2 linked regions of the Drosophila melanogaster genome follow. The protein of the gene in region 2 interacts with the protein of the main gene of each other region in a pairwise test. Each region holds a gene or a part of one and is shown on either strand. Other genes may lie near its edges. The genes, in order: Rilpl and CG2930.

Evidence for each region.
Region 1: the proteins of CG2930 (region 2) and Rilpl interact in a two-hybrid assay, tested with the Drosophila melanogaster proteins (one large-scale study listed by BioGRID).

What each region holds. Positions count from the first base shown.
Region 1 is NC_004354.4:1,389,235-1,398,724, forward strand, and holds Rilpl (Rab interacting lysosomal protein like), read left to right. Parts: upstream 1-3,819; 5' UTR 3,820-4,309; coding exon 4,310-4,924; intron 4,925-4,989; coding exon 4,990-5,480; intron 5,481-5,848; coding exon of another isoform or gene 5,849-5,863; coding exon 5,864-5,959; intron 5,960-6,011; coding exon 6,012-6,137; coding exon of another isoform or gene 6,138-6,141; exon of another isoform or gene 6,142-6,318; coding exon 6,319-6,451; 3' UTR 6,452-8,103; downstream 8,104-9,490. Other genes in the region: CG32813 (uncharacterized protein), read left to right, coding at 395-823, 1,015-2,331. UniProt on the Drosophila melanogaster protein: May have a role in lysosome distribution by interacting with Arl8.
Region 2 is NC_004354.4:3,871,949-3,880,036, reverse strand, and holds CG2930 (uncharacterized protein), read right to left. Parts: upstream 4,272-8,088; 5' UTR 4,237-4,271; coding exon 4,203-4,236; intron 4,136-4,202; coding exon 3,795-4,135; intron 3,723-3,794; coding exon 3,644-3,722; intron 3,583-3,643; coding exon 2,579-3,582; intron 2,410-2,578; coding exon 1,420-2,409; 3' UTR 1,220-1,419; downstream 1-1,219.

The sequences.
Region 1 (9,490 bases), 2.5 Mb from region 2:
CTTTATTTCCTCAGTGCACCGCGCTCTCTTCATCTCTCTTTTCGGCTTATCACTCCCACTGTGTGGGTGGCGTGGAGTCGAGTCGAGTGGAGTGGATTGGAGTGGAGCTGTTGCGTTTGTTGTTGCTTTCATTATGTTATTAATTAGGCGAGTGGCGGCTGTGGTGGCGTAGGTGGGATCGGATCGATTGCTAGGGGTGTGTGTTCAATCAGGAGGTGGGGCGATGGTCGCTGGTCAGTGTGTCGCTGGTCACTGTGTGGAGCACAGATGGTGGCCACTTCGGCCCTCTTCGCTGCCGATAGAAGGGATAGAAGGCCCATGCAAAGCTCCAGAGAATAACACAGTGTGCATTACTTTCTCCCCCAGCTTCACGACGTCTTGCAAACGGTTGAAAATGGAGAAGACTCCCCGGTACACGCAGCGGGAGCGGAACATGGTGTTGAGCTACGCGGCGCAGTACAAGGATGTGATCGAGAACAAGCGCACGGACGCGGAGTCCAACCGCAAGAAGGACGAGGTGTGGCTGCAGATCGCCAAGGAGTTCAACTCGCGGGTCTACCACCAGCGCAGCGCCAAGCAGCTGCGCCAGCTTTACAAGAACATGAAGCTGCTGCTCAAAAAGGACCTATGCGGCGAGGACAAGAGCAACCATTCGTTCATGGACCTGCTCAACACGCTGTCGCACCAGGAGTCCGTGGCCCAGTACATTGCCGAGCAGCTGTCGCCGGAGGGCGCGGGCGGTGGCGGCGGCGGCGGTAAGCAAGGCGGCGCGGGCAACGGAGGCGGAAACGGACACCAATCGGACGACTACGACGACTCCAAGGTGGGCTTAAAATTCAGATCTGTGCATAAGTGTCCCATCCGGTGCTTAAGTCTCAAGACTCAAGTCACTTGGTCCACTTGGTGAACGTGGTGCACTTCATCTAACCCACTAATCCAGATGAATAGCTTTCTACTTTCTTGACTCTCTGAACCCTGTGAATCCTACTAAAACGCTGTCCATGATGGTTTCAGTATCATTTATTTTCCTCACACTTGCAGATGCCCCACTACCACGAGGGCATGGACACGGACGTGATCCTTATCAAGTCGGAGACAATTAGCGACAACGAGCAGACGGACAATGGCATGGACTGCCTGGACGAGGACGATGACGACGACTGCTTGAGCCACAAGGCGCCGGAGGTGTGCCTCGAGGAGGAGGACGACGTGCTCTTTCCAACGGACGTGCGCCAGCTGCAGCAGGTGGGATCGTCCGGAGCCGCCGGCGGTGGTGTCTCCGGAGGCTCCCTTCCCGGAAACATGTCTAGCAACGGGATTACCGAAACCAGTCGCCGCGCCGCAAGCTCGCCCGTGTGCTCCACGAAGACCTCGATTAGTTCCAGCGGGAGCTACGCATCAGCGCCCAAACCGGACATCACTATCCAGACCGTGGGCCACATACGCGTGGGCAGCTTTGCCAACATCAACAAGACGCTGCAGAACGGCGGCTCCGGCACAGGAGCTGTCCTATCAGCGGCCAGCAATGGCGGCTCCAGTGCCAGTGGAGTGCTGCCGCTCACAGCGGAGCAAGTGCAGCAGCACACGCTGCTGAACGGCCTAGGATTGTCCGCCGTGAATCCGGCTCAGTCTCTGCAGGCGGCCATCAATGCCGCCTATGGGTCCGCCGCTCCATCTTCATCGGTCGCCATTAGCAGCCGCCGCACCCCTCCCACTCTGCAGTTGCCACGCCTTCAGCGCGGAAACATCAACAATAGCCACCACACTGCCGGCAGCACAAGCAATTCCGCGGTGGCCTCCAATGGAGTGCAACTGTTGCTCAACGGCGGCCACCACGCACAGATGACGCACAACCATTTGGCGCGGGACAAGACAGGAGGCGTGGCCATCGGGGCGGCGGGCAGTTTCAACGGGTACAACGGACTGGCAGTGGCGGGCACAGTGTGCAGCGCCTTGAACAGCAGCGGATCCGGAGCCGGAAGCGGCGGGAGCAGTGCCAACAACAGCGGCGTGGGCCTGGGGATCGGCGGGGCACACACGTCGGGCAGCGGAGGAAGTGGCAGCGGTGGGACGAGGAGCCAGCACCAGGAGCTGATGAATTCGCTGAGGATCGAGGAGAGCAAGCGGAAAATCGACCTGATCAACGCCCAAATCGAATACTGGCAGACGCTCACCCGCAAGCTGAACAGTCAGGCGAATCACATGCCCAATCCTGCGTGCCCGTGCCACTTCCCTGGAGCCAGTGTGCTCTCGCCCGTCGCCGTGACCGCCGCTAGTGCCTCATCGTCCGCTTCCGCCAATGTGTTGCAGACGCAGGCCAGCACCAGCTAGTCCGCAGCCAAGGGGCGGTTCGAACTAGTCGGGGGTCCTGCGGGCGAAAGCGAAAGCGACAGCGACATCATCTCGATAGTGGACATAGATGATGGGCGGTCTAGGGAGGACGAGCAGTCGGAGGACGATGGCGAGAACCGTGACCAGGCCATAACGGACCTGACGCTACCCGACGAAGACGAGGAAGACGATGTAGACGAAGATGACTCACAGGATGCCTTGGTCAGGGATGTTGGCGTGGTGGGCGGCCTGTCGTCGCCAGATACACCGCCCCACTCCTCTCCGCCGCCAGCGAAGCGCTCGAAGCGCCAGGAAGTCACCTCCGAGCTCCTGAGGCAGCTGGCCCTGCAGCAGAATCAGGATCCCCAGGAGGGGTGCTAGTATTTTGTCTAGTTTGCTAATTTTATACTTGCTACCATGGATTGACGCAACCACTTTGTAACATTAATTTTACCATATATATTTATTTACGCCCAGTTTGAGTGCCAAAACAGAAACCAAGATTGGGGCCTTGCCATCGAAAATGCTTGCCAAAGGACCTGCTGAAATAACCGGTCATAACCACTCGCGACCCACTATTTATTTGCCAGCCTAACTGAAACATAGCGATTCATCTCATTTTAAAATGTCTTGCGTCGCCTATTTTTTTATTGCCTTTTTTTTTCTATACATGTAACGTGTTTATTTTTAAGTTTTCCTACGAGCTGCTACCAAAAAGAATAAGAAGAAGAAGGTGACTATCTTGAATGTACATTTACTTTACAAAACTAGACCTTACTTACTTACTTAATTAGAGATCGAGCAGCTAAGAACGCATGAAAATGAAATGTACAAATGTGGTTCCTAATCTAGTCCCTAAAGTCAAAAGTGAAGAACGAAAGAGCTACAGAAAAGAAATCGAAATTGTTACGCCTAGCCGAGAACTTGTGTATTATTTTTTTATATCGCTTAGATTGTTCCCCCGAGGAAAGCATTGAAGGAACTGTAGCTAATTTATGTACTTAATGAACCAGTGAAACCAAACCAATGATTTGAAATGGTGTAAAGAGAAGAAACTTGCTAGTCGCCGCTGCATAACTGTGTAAATGTGGCACACAAACCATTTAGTTAGTGTTAGTGCTACTGTACGTGTAAAATACAATTAATTGCCTATCCAGACCCAGTAACCACAATTTACAAGGAAGCACACACCAAACGAAACTGAAAACCAAGAAAACAAAACTATTTATACAATTTTGTAAACAAGAACTTATTAATAAAACAATGAATTTACTTTGTGGCCCAGCCTGTTGACTTTTGGATAGTAAAATTTCGTTTAAGGCTTAACATTTTGGCACTTACGCTCATTTTGCTCGCTTAAGCTGCTCTTCATTTGGCGCCAAACGAATTGGCGTTGCCCAACACTGACCAGCCAGCACAAAGCGCTACCAGACTGCGCAACCGACTGCTCATCTGGGAACTGGTTCGCACATATGGGCGCCCGCGAACCAGTTATTCGTTACTCATCAGTTCCAGTTCGGTTCAGCAAAAATTGTGCAAATAAATTGCGGAAAGTCGGATTGTTTATGTGGGAATCGGCAGCGAAAAGCGACTCGGCGGCAGTAACAACTAGAGTGAATGAAGTGAGCACTGCCACTCCCACGCACACTACTGTGCAGTCTGTGTGCGCCAACTGTGAATTGCGAAGTGCGAATTCCGTACTTCGGATTGCGGATTCCCCCCCTCCCTTAAAGCACTTGGAAAACCAACACCTGGCGCACGTACACGCACACGCACACTTGTCCTGCTAGCGAAAGAAAAATCCCTGTCAGCTGGTGCAGCGATTCCCGAAGCAACTCCGAGGAGCAGGACACCGTGGAAAGAGGCGACAACTGAAGCTGGTCTTCAGTGAACACAGAGTCCAGTGAGCAAGTGTGAGCAAGTAAACAAGTGATACAGCGCTTGGCAGGAGTCACAGATTATCTGAGCGACCACCTGGATGCCCGGCTTTCACCTCAATGAGATGGGTGAAATGGTCCTGGACGCCATCGACGACATCGGCGTGGTCGATGTGTACGACTTGGCCTCCGACATTGGCAAGGAGTACGAGCGGATCATGGACCGCTTCGGCACGGACGCCGTCAGCGGGCTGATGCCCAAGATCATCAACACCCTGGAGCTGTTGGAGGCGCTGGCCACGAAGAACGAGCGCGAGAACGCCACCATCCAGGAGCTGCGCGATAAGGTGGCCCAGCTGGAGAGCGAGAAGCTGGAGAAGGCCGAGTTCCGGCGGCGGTTCGACAAGGAGCTGGAGCTGATCGAAGAGCAGTGGCGCAGCGAGACCAACGAGCTGGTCGATCTCGTCTCCTCGCTGCAAGACGAGAACAAGCGGCTGGTAAAGCAGACTCAGGATCTGCAGTCATCGTCCGCCCAGAGCTCCGGCCTGGGGGCCAGTCTCACCGAGAGCATTATCAGCATGACCAACCACGAGCTGCACAGCGCTCTTTCGGATACTCAAGTGCTGCAACGGCTGAAGGAGCAGATATACAAGCAGCGCGACGAGTTGAAGCACCGCGAGCGTGAGCTGCAGGACAAGTACAGCGAGCTGGAGCACGTGAGTGTCCTTAAGGATAGGTGCTCATATTCCCAGCTAACGTATTCTTAACTAACCCTTCCCAGCTCAATATCCAGGCGGAGCGTCTGAAGGCATCAGAGCGAGATACCCGGCGCCGCCACAAGCTGATGCAGGCCCAAGTGAAGACGCTGTGCGAGGAGCGCGCCGACTTTCTTGCCCAGCTGCAGGACCAGAGCCGGGAGATCAACCAACTGCGCAAGCGATTGGGCCTGGCCGAAAAGGAGAATGAGGATTTGGTGGCCTCGTACGACGATGGCCAGAACGATCCCAACCGGCCGCGGTACACCACGCGCGAGCTGAAAGAGTTGATTAGCGAGCGCGATGAGCTGCTGACCACCATCGACACCCTCAACGAGCAGCTGGCGGAGCTGAAGCCACCAAGCCAGGCGAAGGGCAAGCGGCAGCGTCACTTCTCCAGCTCCGACGATAGCGATGAGGACGACGATGGTCACGTGGCGGACAACGATGATGACGACGACGAGGAGGAGGCGGCTGCCGAGGCGAACGAGCTGGAGCCACCAGCGGCCGGAGAAACGTGAGTGAGCCCATTTCTGTTACATCCTTTAGTTTTGTGGTCCCTCACCAGAGAAAACAAGAATTTATGAACGACCGCTTGAGTCAAAGTGATTAACGAACAAGCATTTTCAGCCTGAGTCATTCTTTTGTTGTTGCTCAGTGCTAACAATATTCAAATAGACCCTATGATGCAAACGTTTAATTGGCAGGTGATTCAGAGCTTAAACGTATATATTTGCGTGTTTTTTCGCAAGGTCAGCAGGTAACTGGTAAATGGCACAATTGGGAGTCAAACAAATCGTTGGATTCGGATCTATATGTTGATTATTTTTGAGTTTTTATAGCTAATTACTATCCCTAGTTATGATTACTTAAGTACATACATAGTGCATCGCTTTTCAGGCCACCTGGACACGATGCGCCCGTGCAGGGCCCTTTGCCCTACGAGCCGGACGATGCGCCCTGGAAGAAGAGCTCCGAGTCGGGAATACGCAAATTGTAAGTGGCATTCAATCGGCGTAGAGCTCTCGATTCACTTTCTGCATTGTAGCTTCCGGAAGCTGTTCTCGGACCCGTCGGACGGCAGCAACACGTTCCCGAAACGTTCCTTGGCCACGCTCTCCAAGATGGCGCTGTCGGCCACGCCCGGTTCCGTTTCCGCCTCCGCAGCGGCGAAGTAAGCGCCCCTTAAAGCATCCGAGTTGGCGTGCATTTCACTTTTCGTTTGTTTTCTGTTTTTCCGTTTCCGTTCCATTCCGTTCCGTTCCGTTTGCACTGCCCCCCGCACCCCTGCATCTTGCATCCTAATTTATTATTTATTTTTTACTTTTACGTCTTACGATTACGTTTACATTTAGTTTAGGCAACAGCCTGTATCTGACCCTGTCCCTCGCCATTCACCTGCTCCGCCTGAGCTGTACATACATAGTTTACACACTCGATTGCTGTGCCCTCATAATTCTAAGTTGTTATGCAATTTTGTTTACGTAATACGCGTTTTATTCGTAACTCGTAACCCCTAACTGTACTGGATATATTTAATACGAATCCACTTTGTATTTTTCGTACCTTCGATTTATTCTAACTTGATTAACGACTACCACATAAGACTCCAAACATACCACAGCCCCCACATGTGCACGTGTTTCAAAAATCAAGATCGAGAACGAAAACGAGAACGAAAACGATATCGAGATTGTGCAAAGATTGCCGAGTGAGTTTTTAATGAATTTAGACAAAAACAAGCTTAGAAAGACAAACAGTCCTCCCAGGTGCAGATGCAGAGAAAACGATTCGGTGAGATGAGGAGACGAGACGAGGAGGACTCTGGTTCTGGGACCCCAGATTTTAGAAAGTCTAGGTAGAACGGGAAGATTTTGCTTCAATTATCCGTAGTGTAACTGTCCCTAAGACCCCTGCATCTATCTAGATCTTCGGCTATCGCCAGCCCGTATGAGTATTTTAGCACTCTCATAGCAGTTGCCCCAAGCGGCCTTATAAATATATTACAAATTTATCAAAATACGCAAACCTTAGAGCGAAAGAAACCTAAAAGTATATATAATTGATATATAATTAGCAAACGTTACAACCTTAGCGCATTGTTTGTTGACTTGAATTGAACTAACTAACGAAACCAATCTCAGCATAGTAGATTCCATTGATAGCATTCGATTGCACAAAGATGCCAAAAAGCGAAAATCTCCGCGTTACCCCATTGCCGGCCGGCCAGTCTAAATCAAGGAATGTTTTAGCCAAGAGTTTTACCATAGACTTAGCCACTGACCAGCTCGAATTGTTGTTACCGCACCCAGACGACTTCGCCCAGAGCCCCCACTCCACTTGAAGCCCAGTGATTTCGAGGAGATCTCAGTCCGATCCTCGTTCATAGCTAGTATCCATGAGAGAGACGCCCATGTAGTGCAATTACCAATATGGTGTCACTTCCCGCTCCCCTTCCACTCACAAGCACAAAGCGAGGAAACTCCGTTTACATATCAGCTCCATCGCTATCGTCGATGCGAACGTGCCAAAGACTAATGGTCAGACCCTATGCCCCCATTATTCGCAACTCCCCCCCACTACCCACACCACGCACCGAACACCCAGCCCACAACACCCGACTTACCAATCTCAATTAACCCATCTCGTTTCGAACACAACAAAGAGTGGCAACTGAACTTTTATAAAATTGAACACGAGCGCGCAATGGCATCGATATGAAAAAGTGGACTAACGTTGAGTGGGTGAAGACCACGAAAAGAAGATGGAGAGAAATTGAGTATTTGGTGAATTAATGTTAACTAAATTTATATACACATATACACATGCATTATACATAATATACTTTACTATATACTATGTAATACCGTATTATATGGAACTATGACTAACCAAAAAGGCAACAAGGCAACAATTATACAAAATTCAAAGCGTACCAGGGTGGCACTTGGACCATGGACTGCAGGAGCGACCAGAGCGATAGCGAGCATCGGATCGGATCGGATTGGATCGCATCATGGTGAACCGCATCAGAGGGCGACGCCTCCGCATCCGGGTATCATCTGCTCACCCCTGTACGTACATCAAATTTATGAGTGGCTTCCTTTGAGCGACCACCAAAATAAACTTATGAACCGTGGAGTGGATTTCGAATGAATGATTTGGGTTGGCGGCAAGTGGAGCACTCGCTGTGCGGAACCTAAGGTGTTTATTTCATTATTTAACATTACTTATAAGTTCGTTTTTAATTTGGCTTATTTTCGATTGCTTTCAAAATTATTCCCAAGGTATTGTAAGAAACAAGTCGAGATCGGCAGAGAGTTCAAGATCATTGTCATCATCGTGTGTTTCATCGTCAGAAACGAAGGATGTTTGAAGACCATCTTCAAGTTCAAGTATTTTCACGTATCATAACATTTCATATCAAGCCTTAAAGGTTAGTAGCGACTTCAATTTGCCCATAAACACATTTCGGGGTGCTCTAGTCATTGGAGTTCTGGCTTCCATGTCGCCCGAGCCTGTAGCCTCTAGCTACTGATATCCTTTGCACAAGGACAGTCGGTGGGGTTGTATTTCGATCGTGCTTTTGGTACTAAGAAAAGGGGGTGGATGTCGAACAAGGCTGATTGCGTAACACCTGGCAGTGCATCCCATGGGATTCCCCCGCGCCCGACCACCCATCGCGGTGGTTGGAGCTTTCTCGCCACGAGCTTTTCGACTGAGCTTTACCCCGGGGCTCTGGGCCACCCACTTACCAAGCCACGAAGCCATCTTGCAGCATCGTCAACCCTGCGCATCCGCGTCCGCATCCTGCATCTCGTGCGGTGCGTAGCAGCATCTCGTGCCCCGTCCTCGAGTCCTTGCTGGGTCGCTTCTGCCGTTTACTGGGCGCCTGATCTCCATGCCGGGTTTGAGGCGTATCTAGGGCGTGGTGGTTGTTCCGGCTGGACGACCTTGAGCACCGCCCCTCATCTGCGATGGCGTTTTAATTGCCCAGCAACAGGCGATTTGTTGGTGGTGGTGGTGATGTGGTGGCGGCTCTTCGTTCGGGGATGCGTTCTGGCCATTCTCAACGGGATTTTCACGCAGTTCCAATTAAGCAATTAAAAATCTGCCACCGGACTTGGCGGCGAGACGTGGGCGGGTTCATGGTGGCCGGAGACGGCGTTGTCAGCTTTTTAATTAAGAAGATGTTAGCGTAATAGGATAGAAGGATATGCGCTGCGAAAATCGTAGGTCGAAATGTGCGCAGCTAATGAAGAAGGCCCCTGTGTTTTTGTGGTCACTGGGAGTGGGCCCCACAATTTCCACTAATTGCCCTGGCCTGGCATGGGCTGGCCAGAAAGAAAAGAATTAAGAGACGGAGCGGAGATAAAAGCGCTTAATGAGTTTCTGCAGAGGCCCCGTGCGACGATTTCAGGGGCCTTAGTCAGTCGATTTTTGAACAGGCTCGCAGCAGCCGCCGCAGAAGCTCCGTTGGATTTGGATTTGGATGCAAGGGGCAGCCCCACTCGAAACTCCCGCACT
Region 2 (8,088 bases):
CCAGCAGGCCTGCAGGACACTTTTCATGCTGGGCGGCGACTGGGAATAGGAGAACTCCAGTCCCGTCACCGAGAACATCACCTCACCGAGGGTCATTACCACGTACTGCGGCACCAGCCAGAGCATGTGCATCGAATTGGGGCTGGTTACCTCTATGATTCGCGATACGAATGTTCCGTGACTCTGGCCGATCAGCAGGGCGTAAACGCCCCCAGCGCGTAACTCTATGCTGGTAAGATTGTGATCCGCCACCTGAACGTTGTAACCGCCCGTACTTAGCTCGTAGAGATCATGATTGCGGGCGGGCAAATCCAGGGCCACCGTATCCCCTGAATCCTCCCGCCAAACGACACGCGTGGTGGCCAAGAGATTCGCCAAGTTTCGCACAAAAGCCCACGAGCGATTCGACTTCTGCACCTCGTCCTCGTACCAAAACTTAGTGATGGCGTGCGAAGGTCGCAGGAACAGTGAGTGGGCGGTGGCCTCATACAACTGCTGTGTTCCGCCCTCCAGGATTGCGCAACCTAAGGGGTACACCATTCAGAATAAAGTACAAATTGTGGTAGAATACCCATTTCAACTATACTACCCATACCCAATTCAAAATACTACCCAAAAAAGTTACTAGTAATTACTACTAATGGCTTATCAGCCATTCTAAGATACTCTCAAACATCCGAAAACCTTGTGACCACTGAAGTGATTCTATTTGTGTTGACAGCTTAACGCTCCAAAGAGGATGGTGGGCTTTAAACATATTCACGAGTTCTTACATCAACAAGTTCTCTTGAATAGGAGGATCGCGATAACGTGGTAACATACCTTCAGTTAAACTTTCCACGGTGTATGTTAACTGGAAGATGCCGTCGGTGTTCGTGGCCACGCTACCCGAATAGTAGAAGTCCAGCCCCCTTAAGGTGAAGCTCTCCCGGGCTCCGAGGTTCGTACTAAAGCGATAATCGCAGTCGGGAATACCGCTGAAGACGCGTAGCTGGGTATTACCACTGCTCGGGATCAATGGGTAAGTGTGCTGCAAGGGTGGAAGATATACGTGCAAGCTGGTACTAATATATTAGATCGGAGCAATACCAGAAATCTCCGGAATGATATCGTATAAGACTATCATACTGAGTAAAATCCAGGTCATAGGTGAAAAGAAACAATTAAGAGTATTAAAGCAGATAGAGAGACAACAAGAATAGTAACAACGACGGATTATATTATTAATTTTCTTTTATTAGATTAACTAGTTGGATGTCTTTTCATATGCAACAATGCCCGGTCGCAGCTTCACTTACACTTAGCTTGGAAATGGACAAAGGCCACTAAGGATTTACATACATATACACATCTACAAGTACAAATATATATATATATAATACACAACGCGGGAGCAAGCAGGACGAATCGGTTTGAGGTCTACTCGTTGATGTCCTTGCCCTTGTTCTCGACTCCGCCTTCGAGAGCGGGAATCTCTGTTTTGGCATCACCCGCCGTCAGGGGCTGGGCCTCCTCCACCTTGTTCGGATCGTTGGGCACATAGTAGTAGGCCATCACCATGAAGATCAACATGTCGGCGAACATGAGGCCGGCGAACAGGAAGAACTCGCTGGCCTGCGATTCGAATAAGGCGGCCTCGGCGATGACGACCACAATGACGTTGCCGAAGGCCACCGTTAGCAGCCAACAGGCCTGCAGGACACTCTTCATGCTGGGTGGTGCCTGGGCGTATGAGAACTCCAGTCCCGTCACCGAGAACATCACCTCGCCGAGGGTCATCACCACGTACTGCGGCACCAGCCAAAGGATCTTTACCGAGTTGGGGCTCGTCACTTCCTCCAAATTGGCCTCGTAAATGTTGTTGTTATCTTTAATCAGGAGTGTGTACACGCCGCCGGTGTGAACATCGAATGTTCCGACGTTCCTTTCGCCCACCATGACTACATACTCCGCCGAATTCACACGCGTGAGCAACGTTTTGCTAGCCAGGTCGTCATAGACCACCTCTCCCGTGCTAGCCTTTTCCCAACGAATTGACAGCTCCTGCGGCACATTAGCGACGTTTCGGATCAGCGGATGGCTCTGGCTCGGCTTGTCCACAAAATCCTCCTCCCAGTAGTATCCACTACCATTTAGCGGATTGAGGAACAGAGACCAAGCCGTATTATCAGTAAGGACTTTAGGTATTTTGTCAGCGCTAATGGTACAAGCTTCACTTGCACTGCTGAGCGAGAACTCCACGTCCAGCGAACCGGGTGCGTAAATATCCTTGTTGGTATAGGCATTCAACGAGGTCACCGTCACATTTTCCGCTCCCGGAATGTTCGAAGTGAAGAAGTAGTCGCAGTTGTCCGCGTTGAAGATGCGCAGTTGGATGTTCTGGCTGTAGGGCAGGTCGGGATAGGTTTTCTAACGACAGCAAGGCGTGCAACGAAAGAAAAACGGAAAGTGCAGGTGCAGGTACAGTACAATACAATATATATAAGCACAGCAGTTAAAAATACTTTAAAACTTCCCAATTAAATACTTTCAGAGCTTTAAGTCCCAAGCCAACAAGCATTTTCGAACAATTACTCACCTCCAAGCTAAGCTCCACCACTCCGGAAATGATGAAAGCAATGCCCGCAAGGATGCCGCCCATGGTGAGTTTCTGCAGCGGTCGTCGGATACCCACTAGTTTCAGGGCCGGATAGAGGGCCACATCGTACAACGGTATAAAGATTAGGATGAGCAGAGGATTGAGCACTTGCAACTGGTCGGGCTTGATGTCCCAGGAGCCCATGTCGCCGTCCATTCGGGTGGCCTGGAAGGTCCAACGGGAGCCCTGCTGATCAAACAGTGCCCAGAAGACCGGAAGTGGCAGGTAGAGGAAGAGGACTCGCATAAGGACCTTTACATCGTCAATCAACTGGCGGTCGTACTTTTTATCGGCATAGTCCAGCCAGTGCTCCCGCGGATTGGTCTTTTTCTCCTTACATTTGGTGGTCAGGGCTGTCCAGATGGTACTGCTCACAAGCACCACCATATTTCCGGCCGGTGGCTTCATCTTGTACAGGGATCGTCCCAAAACGAAGATGATCACCGACACAATCATAAGTACGGCCGGTACTCCAAAGGCCAATGGATAGCAGTTAATGTCGTCAAAGCAGGACACGTCCTCGCGCAATATTGGAGTCACCGTGGTGGAGATCAGCGATCCGGCATTGATCGAAAAGTAAAAGAGCGAGAAGAACGAAGTGATCTGCTTCACCTGCTCCGGCACCTTAAACTGATCGCCACCGAATGCCGACACACACGGCTTAATGCCGCCTGAACCAAGGGCAATTAACGCCAGGCCCAACATCGTAAACGTTTCCATGGGCAGGTTAAGTGGTCCAATGGCACCTAGGGTCAGCAGCACCGATCCGCATATATAAACCAGCGATAAATACAGGATAGTCTTGAATTTTCCCAGCCAAGAGTCCGAAATGATGGCTCCAAAAACGCACAGGAAGTACACGAACATGGTGAAGATATGGAAGACCACGGTGGCGGTATCATCAGAATAGCCCAGAACTCGACTCAGATACAGAACCAAAACAGCTGAATGGAGTACGAGCGATTAGCAGAGATTTCATTGTAAGATACTTTGCGATTAACTTACTCCTCATGCCGTAATAGTTGAAACGTTCGCAGAATTCGTTACTGATGATGAAGAACACGGACTTGGGGTAGGGCAGTTTCTGTGGGTGTCAATGAAAAGGTAAGTACAGTGTTTGCTTCAATACTTGTTAAAGAGCACCAATGACGATTACCTTCTGCTGACCCTCAGTCTCGGAGACGTTCTTGAAGTCATTGGTCTCTGCCAGTTCCTTGCCATTCTGGTCGGGCTCCTTGTCATTCTGGTCGGGCTCCTTGCCATTCTTTTTAGCGATCTCGGGCAGCTTCTTGGCCTCCGCCGTGCCGTTGCTCTCGCCGGACGGTTGACTCTCTGCAGGGGCTGCAATCGGGGTAGTGTCTTCAACGGTCGCAACACTCGGGGTGACTTCTTCTGCAGCGGCAGCACTTGGACCGGAGCCATCGGGACTTGCAGGAGCTATTTCGGCCGCGGGAGAAGGCTCTGGTTCAGCCACAGGCTCAGCCGCTGGCTGTATTTCTGCGGACGAAAGAAGGATCCAGGTTAGTAATTCGAAATGCAATAATCGAAAACTTGGAGAGCCCACCCAGCAGGGGTACTTGCTCCGCCGGCAGCTCCATTTCATATGGCCACTGAGATTCGTTAGTGATCTGAGGATCGGCGACATTTCATCAGAAACCGAAACCGAGACTTGTGGCCTTGTGCTTGACACCTCCGCCACAGATAAGGACTGTTCTATATTTGAACGGGCCTTTACTTCAACGGCGGGCGTGTGAATTCGGTGGCCCGGCATAAATTATCCAGCCTTAGGCCCCGAGCTTTTACGAGGTTTACGCCAGTGGCGGGCGTCAGATAACCCAGCTAGGGAAGATAGCTCTCTCGGCGATCGCCTCCACACTTTGACAAACTGGCTGGGAGTATGGCTTTCCACGCCATAAACAACATGCTGATTACTGACAATGCTGCGTCTAAATGTCTGCTGGAGCTTTAATGGTCATGTCCATGTGGATCGAATGGTAATTGCAGCTGGTGCCTAGTGCAGCTAGTCATGGTCATGGCCATGTTCGGACAACTGGATCTGTATCTGTTCGATGGTTGATGATTCAGGAAGCGAACTGCGAACTGCGAAAGTCCCGAATGGCGACCAATGAATGGGCCTTATCTAACTGCGATCCAGAATCGGTTCGCAGCTAATCCATCGATGCTTTATCAGCGTTTATGACCGCTATTTGAGGCAGTAATGTATAGCAGCCATCACATGGCTCCATAAACCGTGGAAACAATGCTATTGCACGCACTACACTTCACATCAAACATCCATTAACATAAAGCGCCTTATCGCAGGGAAACAGAGATATACAAAATATACAAGTACCAGACGTGTACAGCATTGACCCGCTTCGGTGGCCGTTTGAAGTTGGTAGACCAGGCCTGCCACTCACATTCACACTCAAAACCACTCATTCATTCATTCATTTTGCAGCCGCTAATAGCGTAGTGTTTAGTGCCAGGGAACTGGCCAAGTGTCACCGAAGGACGGAAAATTGATCTCCAGACGGATCTCCACTCAATCCACTCGATTGGGCTCCATAAAAGCCGTAGACCAATCGGAGTCGCTGATACTCCGTAATTTTCAACAAGCTAATTGAAAAATGAGTACACTGAGGGCTTTACCTATAAATAATTAGATAAGCCTGGTATGCCCTGAGTGCAGTTGTAAAGTTTCGGAGGGAAAGTGCTGTGAAAGTGTTCTCAATTTCACTTTCTCAAGATTTCTTTACTTAAGCTCTAAGAGCCCTGGGACCTATAGATTGATTGATTGATTGATTGATTGATAGGTGGTTAGGATGTGCGTTGAACTATCGCTAACTGTGATATGCAGAGAAATTCTTCTGGAATTCGAGAACGGATGAACATAATTGGATTGGCTATATATAGTAGTGAGTGATTCTTTAATGACATTGCATATCGGCATTGATATCGCATAATCGTCGGTTTGTTCATCGATTGGCCATCAAATAGGTTGTAAATTTCACACCTACCCAATAACATACATAATCGCCATGAAGAGGGTCTAAAAGCATTCCAACTGATTTACAAGCGATTAGAACGAGCGCGATGTTTATTGGTCCAGCGAAATGATAAGCGCCGCAGGAGCTGGCGCTTTGGCCCAGTTTTAATTACAATTGCTTTTTACGGCGGCAAAGAAACAGAATTATTCAATGGAAGTTGTCAGATAGATAAGTTCGATGTTTTCGGTAGTGAGCAAAACTTTGATTGTCTTGTTCCGTTCGAAGCGGCAATTACGACCCCATATCGGCACCGCCCCATCCAATTCGACCGGGTTCTGCTCCGCATGGAGCAACCAAATACGAAATGGCAAATTCCAGGCGAACTACTCACTCACTAATTGCAAGCGGTTGCATTTACTACAGGCTCTCCCAGCGATTTGTCAGCAAGTGGTGTGTGTGTGTGTGTGTTTGGTATACCAAACGAAATCGTAATCGCAATTTTAGCCGCATTTGTTTTAAACACCCGCATTGGCAGTTTGCCTACGAATATGCAAATGAAGCCGGCGTCTGACATTGAAATGCAGGCGCACACAGTTGTACAAATTGGAAAATTTGCATCGGTGTAGGCAAGTCGAGTTATTTATTTTTTGAGATTTGAATAGGCAAGTATATAGGCAAGGTTGGTCCGTGCCAATTGACCAAGTTTGGCAGCTCTTTTTTGGGGACCGTCGAAAGTAAATCCACATTTGGACCTGCTCGTTGCTTGTGTTGGAGCCGCTCAAGTGGCTAAAACCCGGGGCCAGTCACTCAAAGTCCCTTATCAGAGCGATTAGATTTGCAAACTGCACACGCGGCCAAGAGAACCGATTATCGTAGTTGCGAACCTGGAGTTCTGAAAATCGTTCGTCCGTTGAGTCATAACTGGCAAGTGGAGATGTATTCCGCCAATTCTTATAACTTGCACGTTACCCAACGGCCACTGATTAAAACTGAAGGGTGAGGAGTATCGAAGTAAATAGGTGCAATAAACTAAATAAGAACACTATTGCAATCTATGGTGAGGTGTATTTTGTGTGGCTTATATAGCATGTCTAGAAATCGAAACAATGAGTAAAACTCGAGCCTCACAAAAATATGGGCCATAAATCTCGGTTCAGTAGTCTGTATAATCGCCACCCCTCTGTAAAAACTATAATTATGCATCTGTGGTTATTTTTAGTAATTAACAATACCATTTTTTTTATCCGTCATGTTGGGAACCCGGAGATCGCTTCACATCCGTTACGCGTCACTTGAAATCGAAGAAAAATATTAAATTTACTTTAAAAATCATTACGTTGTAGGAATGTGCATATGTATAAGATGCATAAACTCAACTTTCTTTTAATTTAACGAAAAATATATGCACATATATGTATATTACGTGTAAATTTTGTTTATTTTTTTCCAATAAGAGACAAAAGAGACAATAAAAGCAAAAAAGTACTGATCCTCGTCTGGAGTTCAATAAGCCCACAAATTGGCTATATTTAAGGGAAATTTCCAATTGCCACTGCGAAATAATTAATTAAACCAACAATATCGCAAATATATCTCATTCAGATTATTAATAGTTTTAATTGATTTTCTGTGTTGCAAATTGATTTTCAAACTGTATAAAAAAAGGAAGCTCTTTCTCTGGTAACTTTATCCTATTTTGCTGCATTGGCCTTTAAAAGGATTTTATTGTTTCGTAAGATCTTTTCATAATATAGACATCAGTGTTTTGATATTGCTTTTATTGTCTCTGGCGAAGCTTTCGGATCGTTATTGCTTTTATTGTTCCATTGCATTCGCGCACTCGTAACTCACATTAAAACATTTAACAACTGCAAAAAAAAAAAAATTGGAACGCACGTCGTTTCGGATGGGATCGGTTTTGAATCGGTTATGAATCGAGCAGGATTGAGCGACCACGTCCGCAAGCGGCGATCAACAGCCTCAGACTGAAGTCGACTGTGAACGAACTTAGCTAAGAAGCCGTTGACGGTTTCGCCGCTCGCCGCTTTGTCGCTTTGCCGCACTGCTCTGCCCGCTGCGACTGCGCGCTTGCTCGACGTCGAAGGATGGCGAAAGGCGTTAGAACGAGCGAGTAGTGGTGATAAGCCTAATCGCAATGTTATCGTATCGACAGGCAAGTGGAAGTATTTACGGCCCGGTGTTCGCTTACCCACAATGAATGGAGCCGCAGCTCGCAGCTCTCGCGATTGTTATTTATGGCCCACAACTACCCACCGGAATATCTGCTTGACATTTCACCCTTCCCCGCCCTTGGCCGCCTGTCAATTTACAGATCGCTGTCCATCACAATTGCTCCGCTTATCACACCTGCCACGCCCCGTCTGTCATCAGTCAGTGGGTGGGTGGTTGCTGTGTTGTGTATAGTGGGCGATGCAGATTGCGCACCATCATTAACTAAAT